4 linked regions of the Caenorhabditis elegans genome follow. The protein of the gene in region 4 interacts with the protein of the main gene of each other region in a pairwise test. Each region holds a gene or a part of one and is shown on either strand. Other genes may lie near its edges.

The links.
Region 1: the proteins of lrx-1 (region 4) and col-122 interact in a two-hybrid assay, tested with the Caenorhabditis elegans proteins (one large-scale study listed by BioGRID).
Region 2: the proteins of lrx-1 (region 4) and eef-1G interact in a two-hybrid assay, tested with the Caenorhabditis elegans proteins (one large-scale study listed by BioGRID).
Region 3: the proteins of lrx-1 (region 4) and pfd-3 interact in a two-hybrid assay, tested with the Caenorhabditis elegans proteins (one large-scale study listed by BioGRID).

The regions. Positions count from the first base shown.
Region 1 is NC_003282.8:9,561,711-9,564,995, reverse strand, and holds col-122 (Nematode cuticle collagen N-terminal domain-containing protein), read right to left. Parts: upstream 1,618-3,285; 5' UTR 1,609-1,617; coding exon 1,588-1,608; intron 1,482-1,587; coding exon 600-1,481; 3' UTR 555-599; downstream 1-554. Other genes in the region: lron-14 (eLRR (extracellular Leucine-Rich Repeat) ONly), read left to right, coding at 1-61, 352-459, 1,918-2,028, 2,074-2,148, 2,462-2,635, 2,793-2,888.
Region 2 is NC_003283.11:10,963,892-10,968,455, forward strand, and holds eef-1G (putative elongation factor 1-gamma), read left to right. Parts: upstream 1-1,827; 5' UTR 1,828-1,933; coding exon 1,934-1,942; intron 1,943-2,083; coding exon 2,084-2,206; coding exon of another isoform or gene 2,207-2,228; intron 2,229-2,273; coding exon 2,274-2,594; intron 2,595-2,638; coding exon 2,639-2,771; intron 2,772-2,806; exon of another isoform or gene 2,807-3,024; intron 3,025-3,097; coding exon 3,098-3,573; intron 3,574-3,598; exon of another isoform or gene 3,599-3,725; intron 3,726-3,764; coding exon 3,765-3,899; 3' UTR 3,900-4,031; downstream 4,032-4,564. Other genes in the region: ctf-4 (WDHD1/CFT4 second beta-propeller domain-containing protein), read right to left, coding at 1-289, 334-517, 563-674, 723-956, 1,007-1,518, 1,565-1,648; dbd-16 (DB domain-containing protein), read right to left, coding at 4,080-4,253, 4,294-4,533. UniProt on the Caenorhabditis elegans protein: Probably plays a role in anchoring the complex to other cellular components.
Region 3 is NC_003279.8:12,726,191-12,730,430, forward strand, and holds pfd-3 (putative prefoldin subunit 3), read left to right. Parts: upstream 1-1,946; 5' UTR 1,947-2,064; coding exon 2,065-2,121; intron 2,122-2,398; coding exon 2,399-2,668; intron 2,669-3,255; coding exon 3,256-3,486; 3' UTR 3,487-3,708; downstream 3,709-4,240. Other genes in the region: trm-61A (tRNA (adenine(58)-N(1))-methyltransferase catalytic subunit TRMT61A), read right to left, coding at 3,900-4,005, 4,182-4,240. UniProt on the Caenorhabditis elegans protein: Binds specifically to cytosolic chaperonin (c-CPN) and transfers target proteins to it. Binds to nascent polypeptide chain and promotes folding in an environment in which there are many competing pathways for nonnative proteins.
Region 4 is NC_003283.11:12,250,818-12,256,010, forward strand, and holds lrx-1 (LRP X(cross)-hybridizing), read left to right. Parts: upstream 1-1,867; 5' UTR 1,868-1,960; coding exon 1,961-2,047; intron 2,048-2,544; coding exon 2,545-2,649; intron 2,650-2,731; coding exon 2,732-3,016; intron 3,017-3,198; coding exon 3,199-3,328; intron 3,329-3,528; coding exon 3,529-3,654; intron 3,655-3,701; coding exon 3,702-3,836; intron 3,837-3,882; coding exon 3,883-3,999; intron 4,000-4,455; coding exon 4,456-4,577; 3' UTR 4,578-4,633; downstream 4,634-5,193. Other genes in the region: rad-50 (Zinc-hook domain-containing protein), read left to right, coding at 1-34, 78-242; T04H1.5 (G patch domain-containing protein 11), read left to right, coding at 530-704, 755-1,310, 1,394-1,532; T04H1.12 (Activin_recp domain-containing protein), read left to right, coding at 4,826-5,012.

The sequences.
Region 1 (3,285 bases), on a different chromosome or scaffold from region 4:
AAAGAAAATGCTGCTCACGTTAGCTCATTCAAGGAATCAACTGCTCTGCAAATATTCTAATGTAAGTTATTTTATAAATGTTTCATTTTAATTGAAAAAACAATTGGTGGCGTACTACCAATATAATTCGATTTAAAAGAGACTAAGATGTATAGTTTAATAAAACCGTGCTGAGAAAAAGCCTGATATCAAACAACAGTAATTATATACCCAACAGACTTTAATTATGCTATCAAACATTTTCTTCAAAAAATTAATCGAGAAAATTGAACTGATAATTAAAAAAGGTTTCAAGGTAGGCTAAAAAAAATTTCAAATACATAGTAACTTTGAAACAGTAATTTTTTTCAGATGTGTGAAGCAGATTGTGAATGTTGTCAGAAAAAAGAATGTGAATGTCGTTTCGAATGCCCGCCGACGTGCAAATGCTTGAGATCTGCGGATGTCTCTATTGTGAGGGTATGATTTTTGGAAACTGGGAAATTAGATATTTCATCAATTCTAGCTTTTTGAAAAACTCATTTTGTGTATTTTCGAACTAAAAAAACAATATTGGAATGCTAAACTCTTTATGAAAAATGGGAGAGACGAAATAAAATCTAGCGTCTGGATCCGTCCTCGAAGAAGACTCCTCCATCGATAGCACAGTATTTTGGACAGATTCCCTTCTCTCCTGGAGTTCCATCGGATCCTGGAAGTCCTGGTTGTCCTGGAGCTCCATCTTGTCCTGGCTCTCCTGGTCCTCCACGTGGTCCTGGTTGTCCTGGGGATCCTGGAGCTCCATCCTTGCCCTTGATTCCAGCAACTCCACGTGGTCCACGTGGTCCAGCACGTCCTGGCTGTCCTGGTTGTCCTGGCTTTGGCTCGTCGGAGTGTCCTGGTGGTCCTGGTGGTCCTTGGGATCCTGGCTTTCCTGGGTGTCCGTTTGGTCCGTGTGGTCCTGGTTGTCCTGGTTGTCCTGGTCCTCCATTTGGTCCATCGTGCCCTGGTGGTCCTGGTGGTCCCTCGGATCCTGGCTTTCCTGGTGCTCCTGGAGCTCCTGGTGGCCCTGGTGGGCAAGCTGGGCATGGTGGTGGGGTTAATGGTTCACATGGTGACTGTGGTGGCTTTCCTGGGTGTCCTGGGGCTCCTGGTGCACCTGGGCGTCCTGGAGTTCCTGGGCGTCCGGCAGCTCCGACTGATCCAGCGGCTCCTGGCAAGCAGCATCCGTCGCAGCTATTGTGCTCCTGGGCTGGGGCGTCTTGAACGGCAACATCGTATCCAGCTTGACGCGCGGTACGGTTCCCTCTCCCGGGAAGAGCTGGCATAGCGACAGCGGTAGCATATACCGTGTTAACGGTGTCACGGCAGTGACGGAGCTCAGAGTGCATTTGAGAGCGGAGGTTGCTCACATAAGAATAAACGAGTGGAAGAGTAATGCAAACGGAAAGAATTCCGACAGCTGAGAGGGAGACTGCGGCATACCCGATGAGACGGTAGGCCTGAAAAATTGTATAATTTTCGAAAAATAAGAGTCATGAATGGTTTTTAAAATTAAATTCTAAAGCCTCTTAGAACTTTAAACTAAACCAAACAATTTGTGAATACCTTGATTTTGTTGTCCTCCATTTTTGAGATGATCAAGATTGGATGATGCCTTTCCATGTTAAACCCATTCCTTTTATACTGACAATTTTCTCTTGATCACTGTTTCCTTTTTTCATTTTTTTTTTCATTTTGTGTTACCAAATCTATGTCTCCACATTTCCCATTATCACTCATCCTATCACTATGGATCTATCTTTGTTGTCAGGTACGCCCGCGCGGTTTCGCTAACTTTACACTTTCCAATTGGTTTTTTCTTGGATGATAAGGCACAATAGAAGAGAAACGGAACTAATTTGAAACTTTTTTGGTTAACCCGGAACATTATTTCAGACATCTCAAAACATTATGGTTTGCGACAAACTTCGATGGGATAAGCTCGGAAAATTTCCATCCCCATTGACACAATTACATATGAATCAGACTGATTGGAAGATTTTTGAGGTTTTTTTTTCTTTGGAAGAATTCATTAGACATCAAGACTTTTAGACCGAGAAATTGAAAGAACTGAGCAACTTGCGAGCTTTGAAGATCACAAATAGCAAAATGACTTCAGTGGAAATGGTGAGTTATTTTTTGAATCCGGAGGTTAATTTTGAAAATTGAGGGAAACTTAACTAACTGGTTTTGTGTTCCTAAGGTTTTTCAAATATAGAACTATGTATTTTTCAATTATTTTATGCAATTGGATGTATTTATGTAAACAATTTTTTACTGTTTCGACATGCCTACTTATGCAGTATGATATTTGAAATTTTAATCCTGCTGTCATTGTGTTGTCCGAAAATTTCACCTAATTTAGAGCATCATCTAATTTAGTTAAATTCTAATCAATTTCCATATTTCGCAAATAATGTCCACAAAAAAATTATTTCAGGAAAAGCTCACTGATCTTGCCAATTTGACCCATCTCGAAATAACATCTTCTGCCATCACCTCAATTCCAGAAACCATTACAAAATTACCATCTTTAACTCATCTCTACTTATCTGATAACCCATTGGATCAACTTTCATCAACATCCTTAAATCATTTGGATGGTTTAAAAAAGGTTAGTCACTTCAAAAGGAAAGGACATTTGACCAGAAACCAGTTTATCTATGTTCCATCATGATAAGACAAAACAGTCATTTTTTGGTGGAATCATTGGGTTACAAAACGAAACTTTCCATTTCAGTTTGGTTGATAATAATAAAAGAGAAATTCAGATTCGATTGGGTGGGAATTTCAGCAGATTTGCCTGTGATTGTGAGTCACCATCGGATTTTCAGAGATGGTTGATGAGAAGAATTAATCGAGCAAAAGTAAGAACATAGTCACATAGTTTCAGAGCAAAAAAGTTTAAAAATTAATTTCTGTTTCATAAGTTTTACAAATATAGTAGTAAATTTTGAAATTTATTCCTGATCGCCAAATTGTTATGCACTCAAATGTGTAATGTTGAATTTTGTTTCTCCTAATGTTAAATTTAAAAATATTGAAGCTTTGTCAATAATACATTCATGGTGAGGGACATTTTTATTACTTTTTCGAAAAAGTTAAAAGTGAACGTGCCATGCTCAAGTTTTGAGCTGATCGTCATTATTTCGAATTATTGAAGGCAATTGGTTTTTGCCAGTAATAAACTAAAATTATTATACATTAGTTTTTATCTTAATTGTTTTCTTACTGAGAATGGGATTACTAAAAGCAAACTTTTCA
Region 2 (4,564 bases), 1.3 Mb from region 4:
TCGTTAACGTAGCTGCGAATAATTCCGAATCGATTATACTTCAGAAACCTTTGTGTTGCGTCGAGATCCATTGGAGAGCTGTTAGATACAAATCGTTCAGGAATAAGAACTTTTCGGGGAGCAGGTGGATCAGAATAGACTTGCGGGAGAGGATCATTCAAATTTCTGTCCGAGCTCATCGGTCGCATTTCCTCAGGTTCACCGAGTTTAAAACCGAATTCTTCAAGCCCTCCAAGATCTTGGTTCCCATAATTGAATTGTCGTTTGATAGCTCCAAGATCGGAAGACACTAAAATTAAAACATCAAGAGAAATTATATTTACAATCCCTCACTTCGGGTATCTTCATCTTCTTCAATGGCTTCTTCATTGAATAAACTATCTTTTTTGAGTGAAGTTCTATTCAAAAGGATTGAGTCGTCATCATCACTATCAACTGCAACATCTTCAGTTTTGTTTGAAACAGGCTTCTCGTTAGATGAATCATCTTTGAAGACATTAAACAAACAGATTCCTCTCTAAAATATTGTTACTTGAAAGTGCTCGAAAAGGGAAAAACTCACATTTGAATCAGCGACAATCAATTTTTTTGGGGAGAATGGAGAAAAAACAATAGAAGTGATGATAGTGATACCAGGTGCATTTCTCACGAATTTTTCACAACACACAATATCTCTGGAAAAAATGTATTATTTATCAGTTCACACATTTACCTAAATTTACAATTCATCACTATTCCAAACAGCAATTTGATTATCCATGGTTGAGGAGGCAAGATACTTCCCACACGGCGAAAGCGCAGTAACCGAAAAATCCACAGAAGCATGATCTTTCAAACGGTATACACCAGATTCTTCCCACCCATTTCGACGGTACGATTTCACACATCCTTTTGAAGGAACAAACAGCCATTGACCATCCTTTGACCATGAGAGTTGAATACGAGGTCGTGAAACACTGAAAAACAGGACATTGTTTAAAACCGAAGTATAACATGAAACACTAACTCAATTGTTTCAAATCTTGGGAAAACCTTGGTCAGTGTGTGTTTAATCGAGAATGAATCAATGTCTATAATAGTCACATTGCCATCCACAGTAGAAACGGCCACAAATTCATTTTTTGGATCCAGTTTGACACAAAGAACTTCAGCTTCAAGACTTCTCGTTTTCAGCTCTGCATCTAAATCTTTCATATTCGTGCATTTAACCGCATAATCGCTAGATCCTCCAATAACATTTTCCCTGTTTGCGTCGACCGTTGTGACATCCATTTGGAATTCAAGAGGATCAATAATATCTCCTGCTTCGAAATTGCCCTTTTTCGCCCGTCCCACCATTTGCTGCTCGGATCCAACAATGAAATCCACCTTGCGGTAACCAAAACAGATGTTTTCTCCATACCAAGCAATAGATGATGTTGTCGCATCGGGAATCTCGATTATTTCAGGTTTTTCATCTTGCAGCAACACGTTCTTATTGATCTTGAGTACATTTCGTTCAGCATCACAAACGTAAATCTGAAAAAAACAGGTAAATATGTTTATAAATCGTTTTAAATCCTACATTTTCAGTATCTTCTCCTGAAGCATCAATGCAGATAGTTTGAAGGCCGATATTCTCCAAATTTTTAACGTTAGTAAAGCTCATCTGAAAACAATGGAATTACGAGTGAAATTATTTATTTTCATCAAAAATAAATAAAATGCGAGCAAATTTTAAACCTGATTCTTGGCGCCGAAATGCGGTAAAAAAGTGTAATGCAACCATGGACCAGTGAACTGCGTAGAACCCCTATGTTTTGCGTACTGGCATTCTGCCAGGGGCACATACGCAGACTTTTCAGTGTATTTTTCCTCTGAAGAACACCACTCTTTTCAAGCGCCTCTTCTTTGAGCGTCGCTTCACTAGATTCTCCGACTCGTTGGTGACATCATGACCGGAGTAAGTTTATAAAATTAATTTCATTAAATTTGCAGTGCTGTTAAGAATAGTTAACGTGATTTCCGTTCGTTGCATTGAAAAATGATTAGGCCAAACCTTGAAATGACGAAATTTAACCAATTATTGATTTTTATTTTGCAGAAACTGTATGGAAACAAGGACAACTTCAGAACCCAAAAGGTTTTGATTGCTGCCAAGCTCGCCAACAAGACTGTCACCCTCGCCGGAGATGCTGCTCCAGCTGACAAGTTCCCACTTGGAGTTGTACGTTTTAATTTATTTAGATGTCAGTATTTGACGATCTGTGAACTATCAATGTGCAGAATTTCAGACCCCAGCATTTGAAGGAGATGCTCTTCTCTTCGGAGCTGAGTCGATCGGACTTCACCTGACTGGAACCTCAGCTAACGCCGAGACTGTCCAATGGCTTCAATTCGCAGAAGGTTATCTTCTTCCAGCTGTTCTCGGATACGTTCTTCCATCTGTGTCTGCAGCCAACTTTGACAAGAAGACTGTTGAACAATACAAGAATGAACTCAACGGACAACTCCAAGTACTCGATCGTGTTCTTGTTAAAAAGACCTACTTGGTTGGAGAACGTCTTTCTCTTGCCGACGTTTCCGTTGCTCTTGATCTTCTCCCAGCTTTCCAAGTACACTATGACCCAGATTATATGTATACACTCCTAATTTTCAGTATGTTCTTGATGCCAACGCTAGAAAGTCCATCGTCAACGTCACCCGTTGGTTCAGAACCGTTGTTAACCAGCCAGCTGTTAAGGAGGTTCTTGGAGAAGTTTCCCTTGCCTCATCGGTTGCTCAATTCAACCGTAAGTTTCTTTTTTGTTAGTGTGAATTTGTTTTGTTCCACTGCGAAGTCAGCAGACTAGTCAATCGATTAGTAGGCGTTACAGTGGTGGAATATCAAGATTTATGTACACCGTCTTTGCTTGAAACAGTTTTTGTTTTTGCTTTGTTCGGAACGTTTTTCATGGGACTGAGAGTTGGAAATTTAGCACTGGTCGTTTACAGGGTTGTCCTGCAGTCAATTCTAAGTTACCTTAGTTTATGTCCCACACATTTAAAAAGAAATCTAATTTTATAAAAAAACTTCTGATTTTGTATTCCCAGTTTAAATTTTATTCTTATTTTACAGAAGCCAAGTTCACTGAGCTCAGCGCTAAAGTCGCCAAGTCTGCTCCAAAGGCCGAGAAGCCAAAGAAAGAGGCCAAGCCAGCTGCTGCGGCTGCCCAGCCAGAGGACGATGAACCAAAGGAGGAGAAGAGCAAGGATCCATTCCAAGATATGCCAAAGGGAACATTCGTTCTTGACAATTTCAAGAGATCTTATTCCAACGAAGACACCGCTACCAAGGCTATCCCACACTTCTGGGAGAACTTCGATGCTGACAACTGGTCCATCTGGAAGTGCGAGTACAAATACCCAGAAGATCTCACTCTCGCCTTCATGAGCTGTAACCTTATCAATGGAATGTACCAAAGACTGGAGAAGTTGAAGAAGAATGCTTTCGCCTCCATGATTCTTTTCGGAACCGACAACAATTCGACCATCTCAGGAATCTGGGTGTGGAAGGGTGACAAGCTCGCCTTCGAACTCAGCCCAGACTGGCAGGTAGGACCATTTCCTCGATTTTGAATGTCGAAGAGTAGTCATTTGTATACGTGATACACTTATACAGAGTTACACTTTTCGTATATAAGTGCTTCTTCTCGTTGGAGTTGTTTATTTAATGAGCAATTACCTCTAAACTGAAAGCAACAATTTTATGAATTCTCGATAGTTTTCACAATAATATATTTCAGGTTGATTACGAATCGTACACCTGGACAAAGCTTGACGCCAAGTCCGATGCCACCAAGAAGGAAGTCAACGAGTATCTTATGTGGGAGGGAGACTTCGGAGGAAAGAAGTTCAACCAAGGAAAGATTTTCAAGTAAACTGGAGTTTCCATACAACCCGGTGTATTTGCCATTTAATCCTGTTGTTTACTCTGAGTCGGAAAGAATAAATTGTTTTCTATTGTTTATAAAGGACCCGGTATCACTTCAATAAATTATATCTTCTTCAAGTTGAGATTGAATTTATTCGTCTATAAGTGTTCCTAAATAATTTTAGATTTAAAAATTAGCTCCTAAGCTTGTTTCTTCGTTTTCGGTCGTCGTATAGTCCTCGATGTGTCCTTCGAAATATTCTTGATTTGCGTGTTCCAAAAAGCAAGATTTGATGTCGTTGAAATATTGTACACATTGCAAATGGTTGATTGAGAGGCTATTGACATCACTATCTTGACTCTGTAAAAATCATTGCGTGTCAGTAAAATGTCTCTCAAACCTGATCGCAGAAAGAGTGACAGTGTATTGGAACTAATGATTTGGAGCAGCATTCCGTGTGGTTTGTTCCTCGTGCCGCACAAAAATGAATCTTTTGAATTGCAGTCACTGGGCACACTGATTGTTGAAGAAACACTGCACTGACTTCTTCTGATGAGTACGTAGAATATGAGCATAAATCTGTGCAAGATGATTCAACTTCGAGAAGTGAGCAGCAGGTGGCAAAGTGCTCATCCGGTGTCTGTTATTTAGATATTATTGAAATTAAAATT
Region 3 (4,240 bases), on a different chromosome or scaffold from region 4:
AATAAAGTACTTTTAGTTGGGATTTTTTTGTGCTCCGAGAGCTTGGAAGTCTGCATCTAATGGGGATTCTGATCTTCCGGGAGAATCCATACACATGGTGTCAGAGTGTCCCATATCGGCTTGATCTACGTAGATTTACAAAAAACGCGGGAGAAGAGACGCAAAGTTCTCAACTGATTTCGCATGATTAAGAACGTGCTGACGTCACATTTTTTTTGCAAAAAAATCCCGCATTTTTTGTAGATCAAACCGTAATGGGACAGCCTGGCACCATGTGTCCGTTTGGTTACAGGGGCGGTAAGGCTTAGTGGCCTACAAATCTGAAGTTAGGCCATGATTTTTTTAATCGAAAAAACACTGAATTCCTATTCAACTCAACTTGCGAAAACTCTATGCGCCGTTGAACTTCTTTGCAAAAGTATTGATAATAGGTCAGCGGCTACTTTCACGCCAATTCGAAATTTCGAAATATTTCGCAATACCTATGTACCTTTAAACCTTTTTCGCGTTGAGACCTACTCCGACAATTTCCAGAACCATGCTCTCCAATTTTGATGTATTTTTTTCAGAAACAGAAGGACAAAAAATAGTTGTATATTAAAAGCGAACCCCTACGCGTCGTAAATCGACACCGGCCGTGGCCGAGATAAAATGGCCTAGTTCAGCCAAATCTTAGATTTAAAAATATGAAAGCTAGTCCTCGAAACGTTTTTTATTAAAAAAAATTTAACTTTCGGGAAAAAACAAAAAAATAGTACGTTTTTCAAATTGTTTCGGATTTGATTGATTGAAAAAAACCTTTTTGGAGTAAAAAAAATTTCAGATTAAAAACTAAAAATTTTCTAATCACATCACCTGTCACACACGTTGGAAAAAATGATTTATTGAAAATTTTCTGGCCTAAAATAGCTCTGAGAACTGGAAATTTTCTAAAGAACCGAAAAATTAGTAACTACGAAATTCCAGCTCAATTTCAGCAAAAACGGAGCAGCAACGGGGGGCTAAAATAGAAGTTTGACGTATTTCGGCAGCCATCCGGCACCAGGCGGAATATTTAAGTGAGAAGGGTGGAGTTACTCGTCATTTACCCCCGGAAGTTTCTAATAGCAGCTGAAAATACTTTTTTTGGATATTAAACTATTTTTTCGAAAACTTGGGTTATTCTCAGAATGAATATCAAAATCATATTAAGCTCGTTGAGAGCTTTGAAATGACACCCATATTGACATGTTTTGGGTCTCGCTGCGAAAAAAAATTAAAGGCGCATAAGGGTTTTTTTTTGAAAATTTCAAAGTATGGCTTGATTATACTTTTTGAAAGTTCTCAGCGGGGAGAACTCTGAATTGAGTAATGCTGAAAATTTTATTCATGGCCTAACTTTTGAAATTCTAGGCCATATAAGAAAAATCACATTTTTAAGGGTTTTAGACCTGATTTTTAAAGTTTCTTTTTTGAGAAATAAAAGCAATTTTAGAAAATTTTCAAATATTCCACAAAAAAACGTACAAAAGCAAAAATCTCCATCCTAAACGACAGAAAATTGGCGAAAAAATGAGAATTTTGGAAAAGATACGGCTCGGTTTCCGGAAATCTGCACACAATACCCATCGATACAGTCTTTGTAGTGGCTTTGGCGGATAGAAACTTCACAAAGATGTGCTCAAAAGCTCAAAAGCTTTCCCGCGGGCCACTTGAAGCTTCCGCTCATCCACCGTATCCGATTTCGTTTTTTTCCACCGCAACCGATTTGTGTGATGGACGCAGAGTTTGGTTAATGATATTTTTAATTTGAAATTTATCTTTTTTTTAGAAAAAAAATTGAATTTTCAGGGATTTTCAGCTACTTCCTGCGATTTTCCATTAAAAATCTCTGCGTCTCAATGTCTCCCCGCACTCTCTCGCTGGTTCTCGTCGAGAAACGCGCCAAGGCGAGTGCTGGCGCACTTACTGGGATCGAAAAACGCGTCAACTGGAATTTTCTTTTTCCCCGGAATTTCTACGCTCAATTTTTACCGATTTTCCTCGAATTTTTTGCGTTTTTTCGCAAATTTTCATTGAAAAATCATGTCGGACACAGCGGACAGTCTATCAGCACGTGGAATCCCAAAAAGCGAGCTCATTGTAAGTCGGAAAATTTAAAAAATTGAAAATCTCTAAAAACTCGAGAAAAAATCCAGTAAACCAGTATTTTCCATTGAATTTTGGAAGAAGTCTCAAGAATTTCCTCAAAAAACTAAGTTTTCCCTCAAAACTGAAAAATTCGGGAAAAAAATGTCAAATCCTATTTTTCAAACAAAAATTGGAGTTTGTTATGGAAATTTTCTGGAATTTTAGTGAAAAATCTTTAAAAAATATTAGAAAATTCACAAATTCCTCTCTGAACCCCATTTTTTTTCAGGAAGACGTCGAGTCATGGCTCACAAAGGAGAAGCTTTCGATCGAGGAAGCCGAAGTTGTGCTCCGTGAGAAATACGGAAAGTACAAATACGTCGAATCATCGATGCTCGCTCAAAAAGTACGAATGAGCGAAAAAATCCCGGAATTCGAGAACAGTTTGAGCATTATCGACACATTAATCGCGAAAAGAGCCGCCGATGAGTCGTTCGAGACGACTTTCCTGCTCTCCGATGATGTCTACACAAAAGCCACTGTTCAGAAGCCCGAGAAGGTAGAAAAAACGCTGAAAATTCAAGAAAAATAGCTGGAAATCGATATTTTCAAGGAAAAATCGCCTAAAATCAAGTTCCCACAATTTTTTCCTCGAAAATTCACAAAAAATGTGATTTTTCAACCAATTTTAACACAAAAATGCCAGAAAACCCCATTTTTAAGGAAATTGGCACTTGAAAACCGCAAAAATTTGAATTTTTGACTTTAATTTTTTTTTTCCCAAGAAAATACCTAAAAATCCTCATTTTAAGCCAATTTCAGCATTAAAAAAGGCTGAATTTTAGAATTTTTAGTCAACTTGCACAGGGAAACTTCACAATATTTTTTTCTAGCTATTTTTCAAAAAAAAAATCAATTTTTGATGCGAAAAACTTCAAAAAACCAACTTTCAGCAATTTTCGGCAATTTTTATCGAAAAAACTCAAAATTTCGTATTTTAAAAAGCAATTTCCTCCCAAAAACCCAGAATTATAATTTTTTAGCAATTTTTCCCGGAAAAACATTAAAAATTCTGATTTTCAGCCCTAAAAATGGCTCAATAATTCAATTTTCAGAAAAACCCTCTAAAATTCCCGAAATTTCCAGGTATCAATCTGGCTTGGAGCCAACGTAATGGTCGAATATGACCTTGAAAATGCTCGAAAACTGCTCGACAAAAACCGTGGCTCCGTTCAAAAAGTGGTCGACGAGCTGACAAACGAATTGTCATATATTAAGGATCAAATCACCACAACCGAAGTCAACATGTCCCATATTGTCAATTTTGGAGTTAATAAACGTCGTGCCGCTCTCGCTGTCAATAATGGAGCGAAATAATTGATCAAAATTACACAATTTTCCCCGTTTTTCGCCCGAAAAATCTCTTGAAATCCCCTTTAAAATCCCATTTTTTGATTGTTTCTGCTGAATTTTTGTTGAATTTTCCGTATTTTTGTCCCGCCACATCCCCCCGATTTGCTTTTAAATTTTGCTATAATTTTTCGCCAATTTTTCATAAAATTCAAAAATCCAAAAAAGTGCAGAAATTTTGAAAACAAAAATCGATTTTCCCATATTATTTGACTAAAATTGGATATTTTTCACTATTTTTCAAAAGATTTTCTCCAAAAATCGTGATTTTTTCCCGTTTTTAGCTTGAAATTTGCAATTTTTCTCACGAAATTCAAAAATTCAAAAAATTTAACAGCAACAAAAATTTAAAAAATCAACAATCAAATTAAAAAAATAAATTATTCGGCGACCGGGAGCATCGTGGCATGAGTCAGGTACCCAGTGTGTGTTGGCTGAGAATATGGATAGACGATTGCAATTGTGATACGTGGAATGGCGGAGCTGCTGAAAATTTGCACAATTTTAGCTCGATGGCCTGGATTTTCACTCCGGGGTTCGAGTCCCCACTGTGGTCGAAATATTTTTATTGGTTCTTTTTCAATTTTTTTAGGGTAAACCAAGGGTCCTGAGCTCGAAAATCAACATCTCAGCAGCCAGAAATCAATGGAAAATGCCCAAACCTTTGCTCAACGATTGTTCCATCGACATTTCTCTTCCGTTCCTTCGGATAAGCATCACC
Region 4 (5,193 bases):
TGAAAATGGAAAGTTGAGAGGAAGAGATATGCAGGTATGGGATAATGAGCTATCAAAACTAATAATCAAACTTATAGATGGTAGTAATCACTCACGATGAGCGACTCGTCAACAGGATCACAATCAGTTGTCGTCCAGAGTATATTTATTGTTTGGGGAAGGACGAGCACGGAATAAGTTTCCTTTCGAAACGTTATCCAGATGGAACAGTGAAAAGAGTTAATACGAAGAGACGGTTCTAGAATGGTATTGAAGAATCTCAATAGTACAAATAATATTTTACGGTCTCAAAATTGATTCGCTCACCTTTTAATTATGTTTTATGCTTTGTCAGATCATTCCCGAGTTTCCAAATGTTGTTACCTCATGTTTTATATTTTACGAGATGAACCCGATGCATCGGCCGATGTGAAATGAAAAATATTTTCTAACTGTTTCAATATTCTAATGCGTTTTTTGCTACGCTTTTGTTTCTTTCTTCTTGTTAAAAGCTAACCTTATTCATAAAAAATTTCGATTCAAGATCAGAATGTCTGACGATGAGGATGACTACATGTCTGCTGAAATTCTCCAAGGAGTTAGTGAACAACCAGTTGGAATTGCAAAATCTAGAGCTCACAAGCGAGAACTACAAATAAATTCAAGATTTGAAGAGTCCAGAGACACGTTTAAACCAAAAAGGCCAACTAGTCATGCTGAGCGAGGTTTGTAAATCGTAGTATATTATTTTTGTAGTTTACCAAATAAATTTCAGAAAAAGAACGTCGCGACGAGGCGCTCGCAAAACCGATTAGCCACGAATCGAAAGGATTTGCATTGATGGCAAAAATGGGATTCAAACCTGGTATGACATTGGGAAAGCAAAGAGAAGACGAAATTCGAATTACGGAACCAATTGGTGTCGATATCAAGGCTAATAGGAAGGGACTTGGGCACGAGGTTGAAGCAGTTCAAGAACGCAATGAACGAGTTGAGGCTGTAATGCAAAAAATGAAAGAACAAGCGGCAAAGCATGAAGAGCTGATCGATGACTATTCCAAACGGCGGAAGCTTGATGCCAACTCAAAGCAATTAGTCAAAGACATCAGATCTTGTCGAAAGGTGTGCGAAGAGTTGGATCATCGAATTGGAAAAAAAGTTCCCAGTGTTTCGTGGTTTTGGAGAAGTTATAAAGTTGCTCAAGAGGAAACTACATCTTACCATAAAAAAGTTGAAAAAGAAGATGAAGAATATAAGTACTCAAATGGTTTAGCAGCTCCAGAAGATCCGAATTATGATTTCACAATGTCAACGGAAATTTTAGAAGAAGCGTAAGTTTTTGTTTTGTAGATAAGGTTTCAATGAGCGTTATTTATCCAAACCGACAATAGTATTAAATATGCGTTTATTTCAGACTTTCCACTATCAACAATTATCTTCGAGATGGTCACTTCTATTGTATTTGGTGCGGAGCCAACTTTTCCTCGCCAGAAGATATGATCGAACATTGTCCTGGGAGCACTCGTCGAGCACATCATGGAGAAGATGAATAGATTAATTATTTTCATAAAATCTCAATTCTTGATGTATATACTATGAATCCTTTTTTATAACCAAGTTCGTGTCCTAACATCGTGTCACTTTTTTTTTTTGCTTTTTTGCTTCATTATTGTCTGCTCCTGTGTTGTTTCTCAAGGTGGGAACGTATCAAGTGACAAGTGACCACTAGTCAGTCAGCTTGAAGTGGCGATCAGTTGCCGCGCACCACCAGTAGCCCCCAACAGCGCGAAAAGCTTCTTTAGCGATAGAAAAGAACACAAACAATTGAAAAAGAAGAAAGTCCAGTGCACACACGACACTTGTGCTTCTTCAGCTACAGTCTTCAGTGGGCAGCAACATCAAGTTCCACCATCTTTATCATCTGCTCATCCATTCTCTCGATCTGTTCCGGTAAATTTGATTGCCAATCATTTTGCAAATCATGGCATGGTTAACGTCCATATTTTTCATTCTTCTAGCCGTTCAACCGGTTCTTCCACAGGATCTATATGGCACAGCAACTCAGCAGGTACAGTGAACTGTTCAAAAATTTGTAGCATTTGTTCTTATTTCTCTTTCTCAAAGTTTCTAATGCTTAGGGTCTCACCACGACCAAGATATTGTTCAAATGAAGGGCTCGCCAAGGGATTTGCACCTATAAGGAGTACTGTAGTTCAAGTTCAAGTTTTTTTTTCAATTTTTCCTCGTTCGTTCCGATTTTAATGCTTTATTTCTAACTATTTGTTTCGTATTTACATATAAATCGGTATGAGCTACAAGGAAAATATTTATGTAAAATCGAAAAAATTGTGAAATGAGTCGCACTACAGTACTATTTAAAATCACCGTATTTAAAATATTTCTGTCGTATCGAGACCTAATTTTGACAAAAAATCGCACAAAAAATCATTATGGTTTTAGGCAACATAAAGATTCCAATTGGATTCACAGACGATTTAAAAACTTAATTTTGAAAAAAATCAAAACAATCGTTTTTCTTTAGTGAATTGTATAAATATTTTCCAGCAGCCTTATCCATATGTACAACCTAGTGCTTCGTCTGGTTCTGGAGGCTACGTTCCAAATCCTCAATCAAGCATTCATACTGTTCAGCAGCCATATCCAAATATTGTAAGTTATAAAGGCTTGGGCCAGGGCCGAGGATAGGTCTATATTTGTTTACATTACCAGAATATCAAGAAACAATATTTAGGATGTAGTCGAACCAGATGTGGATAGTGTAGACATTTATGAAACTGAAGAACCTCAATTTAAAGTTGTGAACCCTGTATTTCCACTTGGTGGATCTGGAATCGTTGAACCTGGTACAATCCCACCACCAATGCCTCAAACTCAAGCTCCAGAAAAACCAGACAACAGCTATGCAATTAACTATTGTGATAAACGAGAATTCCCAGATGATGTACTAGCACAATATGGATTAGAAAGGATTGATTATTTTGTATACAACACTTCATGCTCTCATGTTTTCTTCCAGGTAATTTTTTGGAAATTATTTTTCTGAAATACAGAAATAGTTGAACAAATGTATAATTTAAAGTATTGAAACTTATCTTTATTGTATGCACGAAATAAGCTATTTTTATTTGTATGCTATCAATATTTATATTTCTACAGTCAATAGATTTCTGAAATTCCGAACTTCTTTCATATTTTCAGTGTTCAATTGGCCAGACTTTTCCTCTGGCGTGTATGTCCGAAGATCAAGCATTTGATAAGTCTACTGAAAATTGTAATCACAAGAATGCTATTAAATTCTGTCCAGAATACGATCATGTCATGCACTGTAGTAAGTCATTCAATTAAGAGTATGTATAAAATTTCATATGGCGTTGATGCACCATGAGGTGCGCTTGAAAGTTTGTAAATCTGCAATTTTCTGATTTTGATTTTATGGAAACTTAATTATTTCATCGATTTTTTCTCGAAATCTATAAAATATATTTATTTACAAAAAGCTCCAATATAAAATAGTGTTTGATATTGCAGCAATCAAAGACACCTGTACTGAAAATGAGTTTGCTTGTTGTGCAATGCCTCAATCCTGTATCCATGTGAGCAAACGTTGTGATGGTCACCCAGACTGTGCCGATGGGGAAGATGAGAACAATTGTCGTAAGTTACTCATTACAACAATTGCCAATTAAATTGAAAACCTTTAGCATCGTGTGCACGTGATGAGTTTGCATGTGTGAAGAGTGAACATTGTATTCCTGCAAACAAAAGATGTGACGGTGTGGCTGATGATTGTGAAGATGGATCGAATCTTGATGAAATTGGATGCAGTAAAAATACAAGTAATTTTTACTTTTTAAAATGTACTTTATAACAAAGTAATTAAAGCTTGTATTGGAAAGTTCGTCTGTGGAACATCGCGTGGAGGTGTTTCATGTGTGGATTTAGATATGCATTGTGATGGAAAGAAAGATTGTTTAAATGGAGAAGATGAAATGAATTGTAGTAAGTTTTTTTCTGCCTCCCTTCTTCTCACCCGGAAAACACCTCTGGAAAGTTATAAGTGGCGAAATAATGTACAGTACTTCCTCTAATAATATCGCATCCTACTATTTCACTTTAAAAGGTTATACCTCGGTTCAATTTAAAGATATTGAACATATTTTTCAATAAATAATTGACTGCAAACGATAGAAAAAAGTTTTCAAAAAATTGTCAAATGACAATTTTTAAATAGGAGAAAAGACAACTGAGATATTTAATTGTCAAAGTCTAACATTGGGAGTGCAACATTAATAGAAATACATACAATTTGGAATGTCTTTCTTAACTATAACCACACATTTTGGCACAACTTCAATGTGCGAACTTTTTCTTGTTCGAGACAAAAACATAGGAAAAAAAGTATTTTTAGCCAAGTGTCCAAATAAACACTGACGAATACTACACTTGTTATTTCAGAACAAGAAGGACGCCAAAAATATTTGCTCTGCGAGAATCAAAAACAATCAGTGACACGTCTACAATGGTGTAATGGAGAAACAGATTGTGCTGATGGATCTGATGAAAAATATTGTTACTAGATACTGCTGAACTTCTTGTCGATTTCCCTTAATTTATAAATAAATACATGAATGTCATTGCTTCTTGAAATATTCTTTCAAATTATTTGACAAAACGATTAGTTTCGCTTTGAAAATTTGACGGAAAAGAGGTCGAAAAGGGTGGGGACTGGTTATTTTTCAAGGTTTACTGTTTCTCTTTTTCTCTTCTTTTTGTTACTCTTACCCCTTTTCAACTTTGACACCGAAAGTCAACCAGTGTTAGACTCATGAGTATTTCCGTATATTCTGTTACTATTTTCACACTTTTGACATTACTTCCGTTAATATGTATATCACTGGAGTGCATCAACTCAACATCATACATGGACAGAGTTCTCGTCAAACCAATGAGCTCACATTGTCGTTTGAATAATGCACTTTGTGTGAAGACAATGCAAATTAGTCAGAATTCTGGTATGCACATATTTTTTGAAGTTGGAACTTTTAATATTGATCATTTCGTATTGACCGTCTCCGACTCAATATTTTTTGTTCCAACATTGATTAACTACCATTAACTGTCATTAAGTTCTGGTCCAAAAAATTGAATCAGAAGTTGGCAGAAGTTTGAACAAAGTTGAGCTAAAATTTTTAA